4 separate regions of the Mus musculus genome follow, and all the other regions are reported to be linked to region 1. Evidence: microRNA targets listed by miRTarBase, many of them from high-throughput screens and not tested one by one. Region 1 holds a microRNA gene; each other region holds the end of a gene's coding sequence.

Region 1 (6,664 bases):
ATATATACATGTACACAGACACAAACAGAAACACACACACAAACATCAGTGCAACTCATCGATCCATTTGAATGACGTGTGACTTAGAGTTTTAAGATTCCTCAGTACTGAATGGGGAGAGGTCTCACTCAGCAGGTGAAATCCCTTGACAGAGTCAGTTGGATCAGGAGTTCAAATTCGTGCTGAATTTCATGATGAGTTCATGACCAGCATGGGATTCATCTTATGCCCACCAAAAATGTGCATGTGTGTATAGTTGTGTGCATATTCACTTCTCTATATGAATATGCATATACACACATGCACACACATTCATAGGAATGGCCAGAGCTATGTCTCAGTTAGGAGGTGAGCACTCTTGCCAGTGTCAGGAGGATGAGGAGTTCAAAATCATGTTTAACTTCATGATGAGTTAGAGTTCAGCATGCGATTCATGTGATGTCCACCAAGAATGTGCATGTGTGTATAGTTGTGTACATATTCACTTTTGTATATGAATATGCATATACTCACATGCAAACATACTCCCACGAATGGCCCGAGCTATGACTCAGTTAGGAGGTGAATACTCTTGCCAGCATCATGAGGATGAGCAGTTCAAATTCATGTTTAACTTTTTGATGAGTTAGAGATCAGCCCGGAATTCATGAGATTTTCCCTGTGTTTGTGTTTATGTGTATAGGGAAGTATGCCTGTACATGCACGTATATGAACATGCATATATATATATATATATATATATATATACATACATATATATATATATACACACACACACAACTAGGGACACATACATGTGCACACAAACACACATGGCAGTCATCCATTTGATTTATACGTGCTTAGAGTTTCATTGAGTTTATATTCATGGTATAGGGAAAAATCTCACTTATCAAATGAAAACTGTTTGCCAGAGTTAGGAGTCTCAGGAGGTCAAATTCATGCTTAACTTCATGATGAGTTAGAGATCACCCTGGATTTGTGGGATCGACCCTAGTTATGTACATTTGCATATAATTGTGTGTGCACGTACATGTGTATATATGATCATCCCTGTAAATACACACACATACAAATGTATTCACACATACAGGCATGCACACTCACACACATAAGAATGACACTCATTGATCCATTTGAATGATATATGTCTTAGAATTTTGCTGATTATAAAGTAGAGGGACAGTGAATATTCTCTCTCACCAGGTGTAAACAATTGGCAGTGTCAGGAAGATCAGGAGTTCAATTTTATGCTTAACTTCATGAGCAGTTAGAGATCATCCTGGAATAATGTGATGGCCCCTATGTATGTGCCTGTGTGCGTAAGTGCCTGCATGTATATGCGTGTATATTTTATGCATATACATACACACACCTACACACACATGCACACAGACATGCGGGAATGGCACTCACGGATCCATTTGAATGATATGTGACCTACTGCTTTGGAGGTTATGTATGACTGGGCCAGGGTGAGGTCTCACAAACCACGGGAAACCCTTGGTAGAGTCGGGAAGATCAGGAGTGCAAGTTCATGGTAAAGGCATGATGTGTTAGAGGTCATCCTGGCATTCATGTGATTGCCCCTATGTATGTGTGTATGTGTTGATGTGTGTGTACATGTACATATGTGAATATGATATACATATACATACACGCACACATAAGACACATATGAGCACACAGACACATGGGAATGGCACTCATCAATCCATTTGAGTGATAAGTGACTTAGAGTGAAAATGCTTGCTAGAGTTAAGGGTATCAGGAGTTCAAATTCATACTTATCCTCATGAGAGATCAGCCTGTGATTCCTCCATGTATGTGCATGTGTGTATAGTTGTGTGTGCATGTTCATGTCTATATTTGAATATACATAACATACACACACACGTATAAACGCAAGCACACATACACAGACACAGGAATGGCATTCGCCAATCCCTTTGAATGATAAGTGATGTAGAGTTTTAGCGATTATGCAATAGGGGACATTGAATGGTCTCACCCACCAGGTGTAAAAGATTGACAAAGTCAGGAGGATAAGGATTGCAAATTCATGCTTAATTCAGTTAGAGATCATCCTGGTATTCATGTGAGGCCACCCATGTATGTGCATGTGTGTTTACTTGTATATGCATTGCCTCTGTTGACATGATATACAAAATATAAACACACGTGTATATGCAAGTACAGACACAGAGAAAAAAATTGCATTCATTTATACGTTTGAATGATATGTGACTTAAAGTTTTAGATTATGCAGTTTGGGACAGTGAATGGTTTTACTCACCAGGTGTGAAAGATTGTGGATCAGGAGTTCAAATTCATGCTTTACTTCATGATGACTTTAAGATATGCCTGGGATTCATGTGATGCCCCTATGTATCCCTATCTGTATCTGTTTCTATTGTGTGTGGATTTGAGTATATGGATGTACCTATCTACACAAATATATACATGTACACAGACACAAACAGAAACACACACACAAACATCAGTGCAACTCATCGATCCATTTGAATGACGTGTGACTTAGAGTTTTAAGATTCCTCAGTACTGAATGGGGAGAGGTCTCACTCAGCAGGTGAAATCCCTTGACAGAGTCAGGTGGATCAGGAGTTCAAATTTGTGCTGAATTTCATGATGAGTTCATGACCAGCATGGGATTCATCTTATGCCCATCAAAAATTTGCATGTGTGTATAGTTGTGTGCATATTCACTTCTCTATATGAATATGCATATACACACATGCACACACATTCATAGGAATGGCCAGAGCTATGTCTCAGTTAGGAGGTGAGTACTCTTGCCAGTGTCAGGAGGATGAGGAATTCAAATTTATGTTTAACTTCATGATGAGTTAGAGTTCAGTATGCGATTCATGTGATGCCCACCAAGAATGTGCATGTGTGTATAGTTGTGTATATATTCACTTCTGTATATGAATATGCATATACTCACATGCAAACATATTCCCACGAATGGCCCGAGCTATGACTCAGTTAGGAGGTGAATACTCTTGCCAGCATCATGAGGATGAGTAGTTCAAATTCATGTTTAACTTTATGATGAGTTAGAGATCAGCCCGGAATTCATGTGATTTTCCCTGTGTTTGTGTTTATGTGTATAGGGAAGTATGCCTGTACATGCGCGTATATGAACATGCATATATATATATGTATATATATGTATATATGTATACACACACACACACACAACTAGGGACACATACATGTGCACACAAACACACATGGCAGTCATCCATTTGATTTATGCGTGCTTTGAGTTTCATTGAGTGTATATTCATGGTATAGGGAAAAATCTCACTTATCAAATGAAAACCACTTGCCAGAGTTAGGAGTCTCAGGAGTTCAAATTCATGCTTAACTTCATAATGAGTTAGAGATCACCCTGTATTTGTGTGATGGATCCTAGGTATGCAAAAGTGCATATAATTGTGTGTGCACGTACATGTGTGTATATGATCATACATATAAATACACACACATATAAAATGTATTCACACACACAGGCATGCACACTCACACACATAAGAATGACACTCATTGATCCATTTGAATGATATATGTCTTAGAATTTTGCTGATTATAAAGTAGAGGGATAGTGAAGGTCTCACTCACCAGGTGTAAACAATTGGCAGTGTCAGGAGGATCAGGAGTTCAATTTCATGCTTAACTTCATGAGCAGTTAGAGATCATCCTGGAATAATGTGATGGCCCCTTTGTATGTGCCCGTGTGCGTAAGTGCCTGCATGTATATGCGTGTATATTTTATGCATATACATACACACACCAACACACACATGCACACAGACATGCGGGAATGTCCCTCACGGATCCATTTGAATGATATGTGACCTACTGCTTTGGAGGTTATGTATGACTGGGCCAGGGTGAGGTCTCACAAACCACGGGAAAACCCTTGATAGAGTCAGGAAGATCAGGAGTGCAAGTTCATGGTAAAGGCATGATGAGTTAGAGGTCATCCTGGCATTCATGTGATTGCCCCTATGTATGTGTATATGTGTTGATGTGTGTGTGCATGTACATATGTGAATATGATATACATATACATACACGCACACATAAGACACATATGAGCACACAGACACAGGGGAATGGCACTCATCAATCCATTTGAGTGATAAGTGACTTAGAGTGAAAATGCTTGCTAGAGTTAAGAGTATCAGGAGTTCAAATTTACACTTATCCTCATGAGAGATCAGCCTGTGATTCCTCCATGTATGTGCATGTGTGTATAGTTGTGTGTGCATGTTCATGTCTATATTTGAATATACATAACATACACACACACGTATAAACGCAAGCACACATACACAGACACAGGAATGGCATTCGCCAATCCCTTAGAATGATAAGTGATGTAGAGTTTTAGAGATTATGCAATAGGGGACATTGAATGACCTCACCCACCAGGTGTAAAAGATTGACAAAGTCAGGAGGATAAGGATTGCAAATTCATGCTTAATTCAGTTAGAGGTCATCCTGGTATTCATATGAGGCCACCCATGTATGTGCATGTGTGTTTACTTGTATATGCATTGCCTCTGTTGACATGATATTCAAAATATAAACACACGTGTATATGCAAGTACAGACACAGAGAAAAAAATTGCATTCATTTATACGTTTGAATGATATGTGACTTAAAGTTTTAGATTATGCAGTTTGGGACAGTGAATGGTTTTACTCACCAGGTGTGACAGATTGTGGATCAGGAGTTCAAATTCATGCTTTACTTCATGATGACTTTAAGATATGCCTGGGATTCATGTGATGCCCCCTATGTATCTCTATCTGTATCTGTTTCTATTGTGTGTGGATTTGAGTATATGGATGTACCTATCTACACAAATATATACATGTACACAGACACAAACAGAAACACACACACAAACATCAGTGCAACTCATCGATCCATTTGAATGACGTGTGACTTAGAGTTTTAAGATTCCTCAGTACTGAATGGGGAGAGGTCTCACTCAGCAGGTGAAGTCCCTTCACAGAGTCAGGTTGATCAGGAGTTCAAATTTGTGCTGAATTTCATGATGAGTTCATGACCAGCATGGGATTCATCTTATGCCCACCAAAAATTTGCATGTGTGTATAGTTGTGTGCATATTCACTTCTCTATATGAATATGCATATACACACATGCACACACATTCATAGGAATGGCCAGAGCTATGTCTCAGTTAGGAGGTGAGTACTCTTGCCAGTGTCAGGAGGATGAGGAATTCAAATTTATGTTTAACTTCATGATGAGTTAGAGTTCAGTATGCGATTCATGTGATGCCCACCAGAATGTGCATGTGTGTATAGTTGTGTACATATTCACTTCTGTATATGAATATGCATATACTCACATGCAAACATACTCCCTCGAATGGCCTGAGCTATGACACAGTTAGGAGGTGAATACTCTTGCCAGCATCATGAGGATGAGTAGTTCAAATTCATGTTTAACTTTATGATGAGTTAGAGATCAGCCCGGAATTCATGTGATTTTCCCTGTGTTTGTGTTTATGTGTATAGGGAAGTATGCCTGTACATGCGCGTATATGAACATGCATATATATATATATATATATATATGTATACACACCCACACAACTAGGGACACATACATGTGCACACAAACACACATGGCAGTCATCCATTTGATTTATACGTGCTTATAATTTCATTGAGTGTATATTCATGGTATAGGGAATAATCTCACTTATCAGATGAAAACCACTTGCCAGAGTTAGGAGTCTCAGGAGTTCAAATTCATGCTTAACTTCATAATGAGTTAGAGATCACCCTGTATTTGTGTGATGGATCCTAGGTATGCACAAGTGCATATAATTGTGTGTGCACGTACATGTGTGTATATGATCATACATATAAATACACACACATACAAATGTATTCACACACACAGGCGTGCACACTCACACACATAAGAATGACACTCATTGATCCATTTGAATGATATATGTCTTAGAATTTTGCTGATTATAAAGTAGAGGGACAGTGAAGGTCTCACTCACCAGGTGTAAATAATTGGCAGTGTCAGGAGGATCAGGAGTTCAATTTCATGCTTAACTTCATGAGCAGTTAGAGATCATCCTGGAATAATGTGATGGCCCCTATGTATGTGCCCGTGTGCGTAAGTGCCTGCATGTATATGCGTGTATATTTTATGCATATACATACACACACCTACACACACATGCACACAGACATGCGGAAATGGCCTTCACGGATCCATTTGAATGATATGTGACCTACTGCTTTGGAGGTTATGTATGACTGGGCCAGGGTGAGGTCTCACAAACCACGGGAAAACCCTTGGTAGAGTCGGGAAGATCAGGAGTGCAAGTTCATAGTAAAGGCATGATGAGTTAGAGGTCATCCTGGCATTCATGTGATTGCCCCTACGTATGTGTATATGTGTTGATGTGTGTGTGCATGTACATATGTGAATATGATATACATATACATACACGCACACATAAGACACATATGAGCACACAGACACAGGGGAATGGCACTCGTCAATCCATTTGAATGATAAGTGACTTAGAGTGAAAATGCTTGCTAGAGTTAAGAGTATCAGGAGTTCAAATTT
Region 2 (3,000 bases), not on the chromosome of region 1:
TTGAAAAAATCAAAAAGAAAAAAAAAAAAGAAAAGAAACAAAGTTAAAATAAATGTGTATGGAGAATAATGTGTGTTCTTTCATCAAGAAGGTACAGGTTCTCTGTGTGTTTTCCACTTCCTGATTTGTATCCACTTTCTTCTAGCCATGCCTTTGCTGGATAGCCTGCTAACCTTGTAATGTCTATTTACAGATAGGAGAGAGAATCCGAGTCATCCTGGACATGGAGGATAAGACTTTAGCTTTTGAGCGTGGGTATGAGTTCCTGGGGGTTGCCTTTCGAGGACTTCCAAAAGCCTGCTTATACCCAGCTGTCTCTGCAGTATATGGCAACACAGAAGTGACTTTGGTTTATCTTGGAAAACCTCTGGATGGATGACAGTGACTTTCTGGAAAGAAGAAGAGTGGAGAAGAGATCTACTTGTGGAAAGTAGAACCATGAAGTGATAGTATCATGTGTGCATGCCCAAGAAACATCCTGAAGACACGTGAAGTTGAGAACTGGAGAAGCAGCTCTGCCACAGAGTGATCATAGCGTTTCCTCTTTCCACTGGGCCAGAAAATCCTCAGGGTTGCAGTTGGTTGAGTGGGCAGTTGACATATGCATGTTGCCACAGCGTCTTCTCTAAGTTAGCAGTGTGTTACTTCCAGCTTAAAGGTGAGCGTGTAGAGATGCCATAGGAGGGAATCGCAAGGGTTTATGTAGTGTTGATGGAGAAGGCTCGGTCCCATCTTACAACTGCCTGTTCTTTCTCCAGTCCCTTTATTTCTAGCCAGCTTGACTTAGAAAGTATGAAACTGGCTGGGTTTTATTTAATATTTTTAATATATTGAGAAGCATGGTCTGCCTGGACTGCACTTCTCTAGCAATGAGAAATAAAATTGTGCAGCTATTTTAAAAGTTGTATATATAATGTGTGTAAAAACTGTATAAAAAGGGGGGGGGGACAAAGGCATTGCTTTGTTCTACTTCAATTTCTTAAAAATCACTACATGGTACAAAATTACAGTGACATTTGGGGATAGTAGGGTAACAGAGAAAAGAAGAGGAGACATGTTGTACTGGTTCATTTGATAGTGTTTTGGGCTTATAGTCCATGGCTATAACAGGATTATGATAAAGGTTCCTCAATGGTTAACGCCTGGGGAAGCAGATCTACTTAGCATTGTGCACATGCCAGCAAGGCTGACTCAGAAGTGATAGATAGGAACGTGCCTCTTGGCATCTGGCTTAGTTTTTGGCCTTCTGAGAAAACTGGTCTCCACACAGAACAGTCTCAGCTGATCTTACAGAACTCAGTGTGAGCGCTGTTAGTATAAACCCTAGGAAAACACATGGTCAGCCATTCTCTCATTTCTTAACTTTATAATGCTGTAGCTGTTATGAAGAATTTTTAATTTCATATTGTTTACATTATACAACAATCGAAGCCTCAAAGTCTCCACTGGGGCTGTCATCAAATGTTTACTCACCCACCTGAGACAGTGCCAGCCTGAGCCCAGGTTAGGAGTGTTCTTAGTCACCTAGGTGTTGCCCCATGGGACTTAAGGCTGAAACCTTCAGGTTGGCAGCACCATGAAAGCTTCCTTGGCAAGAGTGAACGTCAGCTCCTATTCTGACCCGTAACCTTCTCACTAATACTCTCTGGAGTGACTCAACACATGGGCTGAGGTGGTTGTTGGTTGTTTTCCTTTTGTTAGAACAGAAACGTCTTTCTGTATAAAAGTATAATTAATATGGTTTAGATACATAAGAATTGATGAAGGCAAGTAAAATCTTTGTACTTTTTACATGATTGCTGTATGTATATTTTGTTTTAAATCTAATAAAATTAGGGACAGAGAGTGACTCGCTGGGGTTCTTGGGGTCCTTGAGAATTAAATTTGTCAAAACTGCTATGAAACAGGAGACTGGCCACAGGACGGTCTGTAGTTGCCTCCTGAAAGGGTTACATGTATTTATTGTATATTTGCTATGTTGCTTGAAAAAGAAATTTGTTAAAGATTCTTTTTGATAATCTGTATCAAGAAGAAACCTTGTACAAAGTGGAATTATATGTTAAACGTTTTAGGGAAGATAGCTGGCCCAGGAATTGTTTTGTTTTTCTTGTTTTTTGTGGGTTTTTTGTTTGTTTTTCTGCTCTAGAACAACTCAATTTGGTGGCACTTAAAAATTGATTAAAGACCTGGGTAAGGATGAAGACTGACTAGTTAAAAGGTGCGGGTGGTCCTTACTCGCTGCATCTTCAGGGTATTACAGTTCCTCAAGTTCTCATGAGTTTGACTCAGAACTTCTGTTTTTGTCTTGTTGTTGGTAAATGTTCATTTGCAACAAGTTTTTGAAGGTGGTGACTGGAAAACAAAATCACATGGTTATTCATTCCTCATTGAACTTAGAGTCGGATAATTGTCTAACAATTTAACACCAACCCACTCTTTCTGTGTCTTGTTTTGATTTTGGTTTTTTTAAAAGCTGAACTCACAGCGATCTCCCTGCGTCAACCTCCCCAAAACTGGGATTAGAGGGAATGCTACCATTCCCAGAACAACAAGCCATTTTAGCTCAACGATTTGAGTGTTCCTAGTCAGGACAGGCCTCTAGAGAACAGAGAACCTTCATTTATAGCCTGATCTATTTACTAGAAATCTTGTTAGTGAGATAAGTAGTGGCTGCCCAGATCATTAAGGTAAACTGCTGAGTGTTAAAGGAGGTCGTGCTCTTGGTGGTGCGTAAAGAGCACATGGAAGACACAGTTGTACCTGAGCTGAGTATGAGTCACCTGAGTCAGTGCTGTTCAAACATGGCCAGATCTCAGAGTGGCTTAAAAGTACTGTGGATGGGTCCGTATCCTGATCCTGGTGTCAGAACTGGGATATGTTCCGACCATAAGGATTTAAAAATGCCCTGGTTTCAGAATGCTACCAAAGGTTGAGAGCAGTTGTGTCGAATTTGACCTAGAAGTTTCTCACCTACAAAGTAGGAAGTTCTTGCCCCACTCA
Region 3 (6,664 bases), not on the chromosome of region 1:
CCATCTACAGGAAAGAAGGTGGAAAATTTGGCTTTGCAGAGTCTATAGCAAACCAAAGAATCACAGCGTTTAAAATGGAGACGGCCCCTATTGATACCTCCAACATAGAGGAGAGAGCAGAAGAAATTATTGCTGAAGCTGAACCTCCCCCAGAAGTGTAAGTGTATCTTTATTGGGTGGGTTTGTTTTTTTTTTTTAAGATTTATTTTATTAATATATGTAAGTACACTGTAGCTGTCTTCAGACACTCCAGAAGAGGGAGTCAGATCTTGTTACAGATGGTTGTGAGCCACCATGTGGTTGCTGGGACTTGAACTTTGGACCTTCGGAAGAGCAGTCGGGTGCTCTTACCCACTGAGCCATCTCACCAGCCCCTATTGGGTGGGTTTTACAGTAATCAGATGCATAAGTTTTTTGTTTTGTTTTGTTTCTTTAAGGCTAGAGTGTACATATTGAAGTTTGTTTTGGGGGACCCCATACTATAAGAGAAAAATATGCCAAACTGAGTTAATAATGTAACATCTAGCTTCTCTTCCCTATCTAAAAATCGTACATTTTTCTATTTTAAGAACCAACTAGCCAGGCGTGGTGGCGCGCACCTTTAATCCCAGCACTTGGGAGGCAGAGGCAGGCGGATTTCTGAGTTCGAGGCCAGACTGGTCTACAGAGTGAGTTCTAGGACAGCCAGGGCTATGCAGAGAATCTCTGTCTTGGAAAAAAAAAAACCCAACTAAAAGCTGGGGGATGTAGATCATTGGTGCTGCACTTTTCTAGCTGTTTATGGCCCTGGGTTCCATTTCACCACTGTAAGAAAATACAAACCAAAGCCAGCATTCATTTCCCTTTGAGAAATGGTACTTCAGTGTTAATGACATGGCCAAGTTCTTTATGCATTGTTATATAATCTTGAGATCATGTGCAGTTATGTTATTTAGCAGTCCATAGTATATTAATTCCTAAGAATTTATGGAACACATGAAACAGTCTTCCAGGAAATCTGATCTCTTCTTGGTAGCTCATTAAATAACAGTGTTTTGGATATTCAGTTTTCTTAACTTGTTAAAGTGTTTCTCAACCTGTGCTGTGGACTCCTGGAACTGCCCAGATTGGAGACGGAATAGAAAACTCCTGGGGTGACCTTGAAGATTCTGAGAAGGAAGAGGAAGAGGAGGAAGGTGGCATTGATGAAGCTGTCATTCTTGATGATACAAAGATGGACACTGGAGAAGTTTCTGATATTGGGAGTCAAGGTAGGTGATGCTTTTAATGTGTACAGAGACAGCCACAATTGAGATATTTAAACTATAGACAAAGTTTTGTATGGAGATTATAGATCATACATAGGGATATTTCTTGTTTTGGAAGGCTAAATATTTTAGCATTGAAACTAAATTTTAATTAAACGATTGAATAGAAATATTAATACCAGTTGTAAAGAATGTTTTTATTTTTGTAAACTGGTGGTATGCTTTGGCATACTAGTGATATTTTGAACAATTTTTTAAAATTACATGTAGCCAGGTGTGGTGGCATACGCCTTTGATCCCAGCACTGTGGAGAGGCATAGGCAGGAACATTTCTACATAGGGAGTTTCAGGCAGCAGGATTAGAGATCCTGTCTCAAAAACAAACAAAAATATGTCCATGGGCACTTAAAGATTTTTCTTAAAGATTTCTTTCCTGCCAACAGCCTTGTTTAGTTTGATTCAAATATAAAAAAGCTCATGAAATAGGCCAGAGAGATGGTTCAGCTCTGGAGACACTTGAAGCTCAATCACAATAATCCAGTACTCTCTATAATTCTAGCTCCAAGAAACTGATGCCATCTTCTGGCCTCTGTGGATGCTAGCACGCACACACAGAGATACTGCACAGTAGAATTTTCTGTGGTAAGAAATTATGTACATTGGCTAGGGTAGCAGCTTCACCTATTGAACAATTTTTTTTTTTAAATTTATTATACCTAAGTACACGTAACTGACTTTAGACACACCAGAAGAGGGCATCAGATCTCATTACGAGTGGTTGTCAGCCACCATGTGGCTGCTGGGATTTGAACTCAGGACCTTCAGAAGAGCAGTCAGTACTCTTCTCAGTTAGTTCTGAGCCATCTCACCAGCCCACTATTGAACATTTTAAGTGTGGCTTATCTGAGTTAGTATGGCCACATTGGTATGTTAGAATGTGGGAAACTTTAGAAGCCCCCAGAAAGGTCTTATGTATATGTGTGTGCTCCAGTATGCCAGGGCATGCATAGGGAGTTCAGAGGAACTTGCTGGAGTCCCAGGAAGTTGTGAGCAGCTCAGTATGGATGCCAGGAACCAAACTCTGGTTCTTTTGTAGGTACATGCTTTTAAAGACGTCACTAAATGTGTGCTACCTATGTATGAAATGAGTGCCTTGAAGGCTAGAGTCAGGCATCAAATCTGGAGTTGCAGGCAATTGTGAGCTGCCCCCATGTGAGTGCTATTCCCTGAACTCATAGCAGTATGCACTGTTAACAGAAGGGAATTGCTACTTACAGCCTTTTGGTGGTATTGTTTTGGCAGGGGAACAATGTTGGTTTAACCAGATAAATGAGTAAATTAAAGATCCTAATTAATTAGGACTATTAAATGCTGCATAGAGAATCATCCAGTTGGTTTAATCATCAGTAATGCTTTTTCTTATCTTCTCACTATTACGGTGCTAGTATATCTTTGCACTTGTATATCTCTTTTCATAGAGGCTTTTTGTTTGTGGTTTTAAGAACCCTGAGCAATGAAAGTGGACCTAAAATAAGTAGGACAGTGAAGAAGGTAGAGCTTTCCTAAAACATGTGAATAAAGATGAGACAACACACAGCCCACCAAATGGGTAAAGGGTTAATTTGCATGCTTTATTTACACACATATATAATTACTGTTCAAGAGAAAAATGGGCAAACAAAGCAGTTTTCTACATTTTTCATGGGCAGTCCTGGTAGCAAGAATTAGAGCATTCTGGCCTACATGTCCTCTGGGGAAAAAGGAAAGAAAGAGTTTATAGAAAACATCAATTTTTACAAATTTTCAGAGCTGCAAGGAGCTACTTACTTAGAACAGGGTAAGATTCGGAAAGAGTGTCAGCCTCCGGGCAGTAGAGCTTGGGAGCTCCCTTAGCCTGGAGATGGGAGCGTTAGGACCTCTGATGTGCTTAAGCAGTAAACTCCTTTTTTGGACTTTTCCAAAGGTGCCCCTATAGTGCTATCAGATAGTGAAGAAGAAGAAATGATTATTTTGGAGCCAGAGAAGAACCCAAAGAAAATAAGGTAACAAATTTCTGGCCTCTTTCAAATATACATTAAAAGCTGGTTCTATAAAATGGGGCACCTTTCAGAGTCCCAGTGACCCAATCCAGGACAGATGGGATACAGTGAGCTGTTATATTACTTCATTCACAGAGCTCAGACCAGTGCAAACCAGAAGGCACCAAGTAAAGGCCAAGGGAAAAGGAAGAAGAAGAAGAGAACTGCTAACTAAGCTAAAGTGGTGGATCTCTGTGTGTGTGTGTGTGTATACATACTCAGTGCTAACAGCTCTGGGTATCTTACAAGCTGAACTTCTTGATACACTGTTTGTCTTTAACATTATGCTTTGAATAAACTTTCTGGAAAACTTTTCTGTTGCACAAGCTTCCCAACTCATGTAAGACCTTATTTGTTAAAGTTGATAAATAAAATGTCTCCATAAACTACTGTAACATCTGAGAGCCGAATGAGTTCTGCTACATTGAAAACAGTTTGTCTACTTTTGGTTATTTATGAACAAGTCAGCAGTTTGGTTTGGTTGCTTAGAATAATCAATCAATGCCAGAATTTGAAGGTCTTTTTCCCTGAAATATTTTAGTTTTATAAAATCTTTTCCTACTCCCCACTGTACAATAAAACAAATCAAGTTAGTTTCTAAACGACATCATTCATATTTTTATCTCAGATTAACTTTGACTTGCAAAGATTTCCAAATCAGTTTATTCTCAATATCTTGACAGTTGGCAGCACCAATGTTAACCAATTAAAATTATCCAAATAGACACATGTACAAAAGATATACAAATTAAAACCATTTTAAAAGCAATGGATACCATAATTTGTCTGTGGCTATACCATCTACATTCAGAAGTGATTGTGAAACTAAAACCCGACATAAAAACTGTACAGCATGGACTCCGAGCGACTCCTGTTTCAAACAAAGCCGGCAGTCTTTCACTCACACACTTAGTGTCTCTGGTGGGTTGAGAAGAGAAACACTGTGATATCTGTTGAGCAGAGAAAAAAAAAACTTTTAGTAAACATTCATTGGGGAGATTACAGAACAATTCATGTACCCCAAGACTGGAGAAATGCTACTTTTACTTGATTATGAATTTAAAAACATTTGATACGTAGAGCACATACATCTGCCCCCTTACCCTTCTCTTACCAGAAGCAAAGGCACAAAAGCTTCCTAATACATGACTTAAGAGCCAACTGAGGTAGTGGCAGGTTACTGTATTCAACAAGAATTGGATTCTTACTTTGAATGCTTGTACTTTTCCCGTATTGACTGTTGGGCATGTTGTGGCGCTTTGAGGTAGGTCTGGTGAAGGTCCACAAGACAAGGCTTAAGACTCTCCAGGGTATATCCAGTCTGTTGTGCCAATGACTCAGGCTAGGGAAGGGACAACCATTGAGTTTTTTGTAACAGCACAGGGCACTGACCACAAGCTCACAGTTGATCTAAATATTGGCACTAATCATTGACAGGATGTTTTGTTATTTCTAAATGTTGCTCCCTCCTCAATTCTTCACTCAGGGTGTCCCCCCTGTTTCAGCTCACTCACTCCATCTTTTATTTTGGCTGTTTACTTCCCCTGCTTGCAGCAGGTGGAAGGCTCAGATTCTTGAAGCAGAGCTTTCAGTGCACCTTTACAGCTAAGCTTTCAGCCCAAATCAAAGCGGCACCCATACTGGAGAAGGCAACTGGTAATACACACCCAGCTCTGTCCTGTGACTGTGTAGAGAGCCAAGTGGAAGGCAGCTCCAGCAATGAGTGAAGGCAGGTACTTAAGGTACGGGTCAGCATCTATCAAACTCAGTTCTCCCAAAAACTGAAATAAAAAACAAAACAAAACCCCAACTTTTATAATCACACATAAGACTCAAGATTTTGAATCCTTGCTTCCTGACCAGTTTCCATTGTCTTGGATCTCACTGGTTCTGTATCAGCCCTGGGAAAATTATTTCAATGTTTTCCTCTATTCTCAGCTTACATTTCTCTCCCCTAATATACTAGGTTGTTCTCTTTAAGCCACTAGTTAGCGCCTTTCCAGCATGGTCACTTTTGTGTATTCATTGGGAAGTTCTCTCCTGAACCTCTCAGCCCCTATCCATGGACACTAGATACTTAAATCTCTTACATATAAAAGATGCATGCTATTTTCATAAGTTAATGCTATATACATAGAATATCACTGAATTACTTGTAAAACAAAATAGACAATACACATATGATTGGTGTGTGCTTATCCAGTACATGGGCAGCTACGTTTAATGCCTGTTTATTATACCATAAGTGCAGAGCCCACAGGTAGAGAGGGCCATAGCATTTTCTGTGTATTGGAGCATTAACTGTCCGAAAAGACTTAAGCAGTGTTATTTGACGAAACCAGTGCTTGCCCCTTAATTGCAACCTAAAAACAACCCCCAAACTGGACTTACCATTGCTAAGCTTTCAACCTTACAGTTTGCAGGCTGCAGGTGCAGGAAGTACTGGGTAAGGAACTGATTTACTGTTGGTGCAGCCAAGTCAAAAGCAAGGACTTTCAATACTAGGTGCTCCATTCTCAGAACCTGCTTCTTGGAATAGGTATCGTCTGTAATATACACAAACTCTGCTACTTCTGGGGGGTATATTTCTTCAAACTTCCTATAACAAAAGCAGTTGTGAGTGAGTTTATTCAGAAGGTCTTGTCTTAATCTGAAGTGCAAAGACTGTAGACTCCACTCACTTCCATCAACCACATCCCACTGACAGCTGACTGACATCTCTAGCTGAGATGGTTAAAACCAATTCAAAGGCCCAAGTCACTAAAGGACTTCTGATTCGCCCCCTGCATACAATATCTCCTGATAGAAGGAAGATACAGCTTATACCCCAGAAAGCACTTTATTGTAGAAGAGCCACACTTTCAAACTCAATCTAGTGTGATAAAATGTGGTTGGCCTATGCTCATTCAAGGCATGTGAAATCCAGATCTAGAAAGCTTTATATATTAGATTAGAAAATAAGTTTCACTCTCTGTTCAGAATCATCCCACAGCCATTCCTAAAACTGGGTGTTGAAGAGATGGTACAATGGTTAGAGTATTGGCTGGGACCCAGGTTCAATTCTCAGCACCCACATGGTGCTCTTAACAGTATATAACACCAAGCTTAGGGGACCCAATGACCTCTTCTGCCTCAGCAGGGACCTCACATGTGCTACAGATATACATGCAGGCAAAACATCCAAAAAATATATAAATGGGGGTGTGGGGGGAGTAGTAGTGAATGATGACTCTGAACCAAACTAGGTGGACTTACGAAGCTAGCAGCATAGCAGCCGTGCCTACAAGCTGAAGCTTCCCTCTTAACACAGACATGGAGGAGAGGAATCTATCAATGTAG
Region 4 (6,664 bases), not on the chromosome of region 1:
GACCTAATTCTCAGCTTGAATGATTAGGGACATAAGAGATCACCTGCATTCTATCAGCACCAACACAGAGTGCATCAGGAAGCCAATGATATTCAAATAAAATAAAGTTTCTTGAGTCATCTCCATTGAAATCTCAAATGTATTTCTCTCTAAAAATAAGGAAAGAAAAAAAAACTACAAATAAAACCTCATTCATTTCTTTTCTATTATTCATGACTTAACCCAGTTGACATCACTGACTTCTGTATCACATAGAACTTATGAGACAGCCACTAGTGGTTTTTATGTGTATATTTTAATTAACATAGAATTTATATATTTAACATGTGTTTTACAAATATCCTATGATTACTTCTAATGGGAAGATAATGGGGACTACTTTTACCTTATTCACAAAGAAAATATAGATATTACAGTGTCCAAAGTCTATGTACTTTTCCTTGTTTCTAAAAGTTTTTCACATACATTTAATAGATACGAGTATTTTGTCTGCATGGATATATGTGCACTATGTGCATGCCTGTACATACAAGAGGACACTGGGTCCCCTGGAACTGTAGTTACCTATGGTGATAGCTGCCATATGTATTCTCTGTAAAGGTGTTAAGTGTTCTTCGAAGCCAAGCCACCTCTTTAGCCCCAATCCCTGGTCTTTTAAAAATATAAAATCTTTGCAAGTGAGTGCTAGGGATGGGGTCTTGGAAGGAGCTTAGGTGCATTGGAGGCACCCAAATGCCTGTCTCATTAGCTTCTCAGGGTGTTCATTTACATTCAAGAGACAAGCATTAAAATTTCCCTTCTTTGTGGCATGATGGTAAAATGTGGTAGGGACCTTGGGTTGTCTTTTCACACCTCAGTTATCAGATATTAAAAAAAGGGAGAGAAGCAGGCTTTCTTAGCATCCCATTCACCTATAAATTGAGATGAAACAGGGAGTTCCCAAAGGCTGATCTCAACTTACTATGACGTCTAGTAAAGAGTTGTACTCATGGTAACCATCTGTTGCTGTTCAAATGGCAATTAAGAAAACAATCTAAGCAGACACACGTAAGGCAATCTGAAAAGCAGAATGTTCCTATATGCATGTTTTAGTGTTATAGTATCTGCAGAGCACAGAGAAATAACCCTATCAGCTGTCCTGATCCTGTACCTGCAGGGCTGGGGAGAAAATATGCACAGACTGTGGGTGGACACTCATGACCTCACAAATGGACCTGGACCCAGCCATGCTTACTAAGAGAAATGTTCAATCTCCTGATAAAAGACAAGAGCAGGACCTGTTGTCTGCTGAGCAGAGCCAACCATTTCCAAGAGCCACTTAAAATCAAAGGAGAGAATCTACTGCTTTAAAGAAGAGATAAAGAAGTGCTATAAGAATATCAGTCAATGGAAATACTTATAATCATGCAAGGAGAATAAAATTGCATCTAAGCATTGGAAATCTTTATGAGATGCTTTAAAAGTTACATGTCAGGTGCTTTGTATACTAAACAAAGAATATTTGAAAATAGAGTATTGTATATTTTAAACTGTTTGGGCTGCATTTAGCTTGGTGTTGTAATACTCAAATCATGGTTTTATATAAACATTCGAATATGTACATCAGCACAAACATTGACCCATGTAATTGCATGTGTATATACATATATAAATCTAAAATATGAGAAACATTTACTTTGTATAAAAACACATATTACAAGTGTGGAGGAGTATTCCTGAATTTAAAACCTGTTTTATGGCCTCATTGCGTTACTTATGTCGACTCTTAGTTGTCGGGAATGGTAATCGAGACCCAGTGTCTGCTTCTCTCTCTCACCCTCACCCTCTAAGCAATTGATATCATGCGTGAGTGCATCTCCATCCATGTTGTCCAGGCTGGTGTCCAGATCAGCAATGCCTACTGGAAGCTCTACTGCCTGGTACATGGCATCCAGCCTGATGGCCAGATGCCAAGTGACAAGACCATTGGGGGAGGAAATGACTCCTTCAACACCTTCTTCAGTGAGACAGGAGATGACAAGCATGTGCGTCAGGCAGTGTTCATAGACCTGGAACCCACAGTCATCAATGAAGTTCTCACTGACACCTACTGCCAGCTCTTCCACCCTGAGCAGCTCATCACAGGCAAGGAGGATGCTGCCAATAACTATGCCCGTGGCCGCTACACCACTGGCAAGGAGGTCATTGACCTTGTCCTGGACAGGATTCATAAGCTGGCTGACCAGTGCACGGATCTCCAGGGCTTCTTGGTTTTCCACAGCTTTGGTGGGGGAACTGGCTCTGTCTTCACCTCCCTGCTGATGGAGTGTCTCTCCGTTGATTATGGGCCCTGAATGTTGATCTGACAGAATTCCAGACCAACCTGGTACCCTACCCTCGTATCCACTTCCCTCTGGCCACTTATGCCCCTGTCATCTCTGCTGAGAAAGCCTACCATGAGCAGCTTTCTGTAGCAGAGATCACCAATGCCTGCTTTGAGCCAGCCAACCAGATGGTGAAATATGACCCTTGCCATGGTAAATACATGGCTTGCTGCCTGCTGTACCGTGGTTATGTGGGTCCCAAATAGTCAATGCTGCCATTGCCACCATCAAGACCAAGCACAGCATCCAGTTTATAGATTGGTGCCCCACTGGCTTCAAGGTTGGCATTAACTACCAGCCTCCCACTGTGGTACTTGGTGGTGACCTGGCCAATGCCCAGTTCAGGATAATTTTTTAAAACATTGTGGTTTTACGTGGTCAGAATATAAGAGATGAAATTAACTGTGACTATGCTGAGCATTTAATTTTTGGATGTTAGAAAAATATTTTGAAAATCCCACCATTGCATTAATTCCATTTGAATATGGCTACTGTTTTCTAACTCTGATTTAACATATGTAGCTAGCTGAACAACCGTACTGAAGACTCTCCTTCAATGGGTTTGGTCACATCTCCCTCTTTTGCAAATTGAATTATAACTAAAGTGAAGAAATGACTGAAACAGCCTAGATTTTCACGAAGCAGTGGCATTTCGTTCATAGTTTTTATGTAAATCTGCACTTTTCCTAATTGATCCAGATAGTTTTAACCAGAGGCATATTTTAACAGAACTGTAAAGAGAATGCACACACTGTCAAAAACTCATCACCAGGTGAAAACAGCCACAAAGTAAAAGTGAGTAATTACTAACACTGCATATAAATGGGGCTCATAAAGAGAAAGCCTGATACTTGGAGATTTATGGGCAATGTCTCCCATGCTGATGTTGTACTGTGATGAGGAAAACATTTTTGTCCACCAAGAAGTAAATTATCAAAGAGGTGGTTCACCAATGGATAGCATACCAAACTGTACACATTTTCAGGAAAAAAACAAACCACAATGAATGCACAGTGATGTTGCAAACACCGAGCTTCCTCACAATGAGCTATGATGAAGTTAACCTAACAAGTTCTCAATGATTTTAGTACAAACATAGTTCCTAGGATTGTGTCATGAATACTAACCCCTGGAAATACTTATTTTATGCATTTAGGAAAATTAGGGTGTATGTGTATTTCAATGGTAGAGTGCTTGTCTGGCTTTTGTAAAGCCCTGAATTTGATCTCAAGCTACACACACACACACACACACACACACACACACACACACACACACACACACACACACTCACACACACTACTCCCTCATCTTTTGTTCTGATGCTCTGAGTATAAGCCATTGAAAGATAAGTGACAGCCATGTTGATCACTAAGGGAAAAGAGTCCAATGTCAATATCAAAGTCATTCTACCTTCTTTGCTACAATAATGACATTTTTTTCCAGAAAAATAAAAAACAAAATACTTTCACAGTATAGATGTCCCCAGTAGGTAAAGCTATGTTTATAGACCTCATATATACAGAAACCATTTTGGTCTTCTGTTCAAGGTTCTCAGTCATGATAAGAAACGTGGTAGAGGAATGATAGCCCAGGTACCAAAGCCCTTAGGTTTTTTTTCCTTTCCCCCCAGCAGATAGGCACTAGACTCAAGAACTGTGAGCTTGCCTCACTGTATGACTTGCATATTAGCTTGCTACAAATACATGGAGTTACCAGTAAGTTGCTCAGAAATTAATTTGAATACGCTAGAGGATATGAATAGAGATAACTGATTCCTTTAGTCCATCATCAACGTTGTGTTTTCTTGAAATAAAAATCCATTTTGTATCTCAATCCTGGGCAGATGGCCAAGCTTTTGATGCATTAAGTTCATAATTCTTTAGAGTCTTCTGGTACAACTTCTAGTATAATCTGTAATGTTCTGGTTATTCTGTCTATAAAGAAATAAGGAGAAATTAAAATGCATGAAAATCACAGTGGCATAAAAATAGCAAAATGTGAATTATTTGGGGATGAATACTGAGAAGACACAGCTCCCTTCTTCACGGAGCACTTCCGAGAATTATTTACTTCATTACAATCCTATCATCCTCAATTAGTTGACTTGTCACTACTACAACATCCCATGATGCTTTCTCAGTAAGAATATATTAATATTTTGTATTCAAATAAGAAAATTTATTTATGAACCAGGAGGCTGAAAATATTTTGAGACAATGGAACCAAGATATAAATAAATGTTTACAAATATTCTTCATGTTCATGTTCAGCTCAAAATGGGTTTGTTCTTTTTTTTTTTTTTTTTTTTTTTTTTTTTACATAGGGGATAACAACCAAGTTCTCAGAACAGTCAGGAGGAGAATAGTATTTCCAGTGTCTAATCTGTAGTACTGTTCAGCAAATTATCTTAATTATCAAGACCTAGTCTGTCTCATGAGTAGAATGAGAAACTTGGACTAATTTGGGTCACTAAGGTCTGGTCCTTGGACCAATTACATTAAACACTCTCCACAATTCAGATTTTGCTTCAAGTCAAGGTCTCAGTCTCTTAAAGGTTTAACCCAGCAAGAGGTAACTCGAATGGACACCAAAATATAATAACCCCTGGCTTGTATTACTTTTAAGAATATGTTCTGACCACAGAGCTAGGGGGCTGGGCTTGGGGGTGATGGTTTTACGGACATTCTTGTTTTCTTGTTGTCATCAGTCCCCATAGAACATCTTCCAAAGTCTCCTGATCTTAAAGGAGCCTATGTGGCATCCTCTCCAAGGTTCCAGACCCAAATCATTTCCCCTCCAGACACTTTTCTCTTCTCTGATGACTTCTTATTCTAACAAGCCCTTGCACGCGATGTTTAACTACGTTTTTAAAAGCTATTTTTATCCTTTGTTCTCTGCTTCTTGTGGTGTTGCTAAATGTCCCTCCTTTGAACACTTGGCCCCCATCTGTTTGTTGGTGCTGTTTAGGAAGACTGTGTAAGGTGTACGGGTACAGCCTCACTGGGGAATGCAGGTTAAGAGGGCAGGTTTGGAGACTTTATGGCCCAGCCTTACTTCCTATAAAACCTCTCCTTGGTTTCTGCTCCCTTGCTGAAGACAGTGGACCAGACACCCGGGAAACCCCAGCAGTTGTGCCTTCTATGCCAGGATGGGCTGTCATCACCCAAACTATGAACCAAAAATCCTTCCTCCCTTAGACTGCCTCTTGCCTGGTATGTTGTTGCAGAACAAAGAAAAGTAACAAACAAATACAGTAATAATCACTGAGGGAGTTTGCCTGGGGACATCCCATGGGTTTTTTTCTTTGGAGGCGGGATGTTTTGTTTTTTGCTTGTTTTTAACCCTACGTTTATTTAGAGAGGTCTCATGTACAGTAATGTCAAATGTTATACCTTACATATTTCTTAAATAAGTTGTATTTTATACAGTCCAATCTGCCATGAAAGCAACAATCAAACCCCATATTTGCAGAGAAGAATATGGTAAAATTGTCAGACAGACAGACAGAGACACAGAGAGAGAGGGAGAACAAGCAATGGGGTTAAAGAAACAAGGCCTCAAGCCCCTGTTAGCCCTGCTCAAACTCCTGCATAACCTCCTAAACTAATCTCTCCATCCTGTCTTCTCACTTGGTCCTCCACTCCTGACATCAAAGCTCTTTCCTACTGCTTTGCCTTAATGTAGGTCTCTATATGCTGCCTTGTTAGATCTCTTGCTCCCTGATGTGGGAACTTTGCATCCATTCCAGACAACAGTAGCAACTGGGATGGCCCTGTGTCCTTCTGAAAGCACAGTTTCCATTCTTCTCTCAGCAGAGCAAGAGCAAGACCAAGACCCAGAGTGGGTGGTTCAGCCTAGCCAGCCCTGTTGACATATTCTCCCCAGCTCTCCCTTTGGGGTCCTAGTGGTGCCGTAACGTTTATCATGATGGAGTGCTCAGATAGGCATTTGGCCTGAGGTACATATTGGTTTCCCCACTTTTCCTCCTAAGCTGACCTACAACAGTGGGGCTGGCACAGGTGCTCAATGGAACCAAGGAAGCATCTAGAAACACTACAGAACACGTGACTTTTGGAGTGCTATGTATCCATACTCACAGTAAGGTTAGTGGCCATACAATAACAAATCTCTATTACTGCCTTTTCAAATAAAGATAAGCTGATGACCTACAGTTGGAGTTTTCCATAACTACAACCTACAGAACCTTACAGCCAGTCAGTGATTTCGGTTTCCATGTTTCATCCTTGTTACTCTTAAAGGAAACCAGGGCTACAACTGACTTTGCACAATCTCATCCA

The links. The annotated mature microRNA mmu-miR-466e-3p reads UAUACAUACACGCACACAUAAGA and lies in region 1 at 4,096-4,118, shown strand. An mRNA with a match to its seed (bases 2 to 7 or 8) in the 3' UTR can be bound and repressed. Matches are read on the target gene's strand: a 7mer-m8 pairs with bases 2 to 8, a 7mer-A1 pairs with bases 2 to 7 and ends in A, and an 8mer does both.
Region 2: the mRNA of Fbxo45 is a reported target of mmu-miR-466e-3p. Seed matches in the 3' UTR shown: 8mer at 1,803-1,810.
Region 3: miRTarBase lists Ccna2 as a target of mmu-miR-466e-3p. Seed matches in the 3' UTR shown: 8mer at 3,535-3,542 and 7mer-A1 at 3,316-3,322.
Region 4: the mRNA of Slc7a11 is a reported target of mmu-miR-466e-3p. Seed matches in the 3' UTR shown: 8mer at 1,639-1,646.

The regions. Positions count from the first base shown.
Region 1 is chr2:10,477,489-10,484,152 of GRCm38, forward strand. Mir466c-1 (microRNA 466c-1) reads left to right here and starts at 4,046; the gene lies at 4,046-4,129. All of the region lies in intron 10 of Sfmbt2 (Scm-like with four mbt domains 2), which reads left to right. It overlaps Mir467b (microRNA 467b), which reads left to right and starts at 3,760; the gene lies at 3,760-3,832. Mir669a-5 (microRNA 669a-5) reads left to right here and starts at 4,273; the gene lies at 4,273-4,359. It also overlaps Mir669j, Mir467a-2, Mir466e, Mir669a-4, Mir467a-3 and Mir466c-2.
Region 2 is chr16:32,230,462-32,233,461 of GRCm38, reverse strand. It overlaps Fbxo45 (F-box protein 45), which reads left to right. Exons shown (of 3, transcript NM_173439.2): 3 at 194-3,000. The coding sequence ends at 379. Among named protein-coding and RNA genes, the nearest start is that of Gm25848, 12 kb to the left of the region's middle.
Region 3 is chr3:36,562,008-36,568,671 of GRCm38, forward strand. It overlaps Ccna2 (cyclin A2), which reads right to left. Exons shown (of 9, transcript NM_009828.3): 5 at 6,581-6,664; 6 at 5,717-5,924; 7 at 4,993-5,106; 8 at 4,534-4,667; 9 at 2,858-4,275. The coding sequence ends at 4,227. Exosc9 (exosome component 9) reads left to right here. Exons shown (of 12, transcript NM_019393.2): 9 at 11-157; 10 at 1,066-1,250; 11 at 3,211-3,289; 12 at 3,422-3,720. The coding sequence ends at 3,500. Among named protein-coding and RNA genes, the nearest start is that of Ccna2, 7.7 kb to the right of the region's middle.
Region 4 is chr3:50,368,067-50,374,730 of GRCm38, forward strand. It overlaps Slc7a11 (solute carrier family 7 (cationic amino acid transporter, y+ system), member 11), which reads right to left. Exons shown (of 12, transcript NM_011990.2): 12 at 1-4,300. The coding sequence ends at 4,236. Among named protein-coding and RNA genes, the nearest start is that of Slc7a11, 72 kb to the right of the region's middle.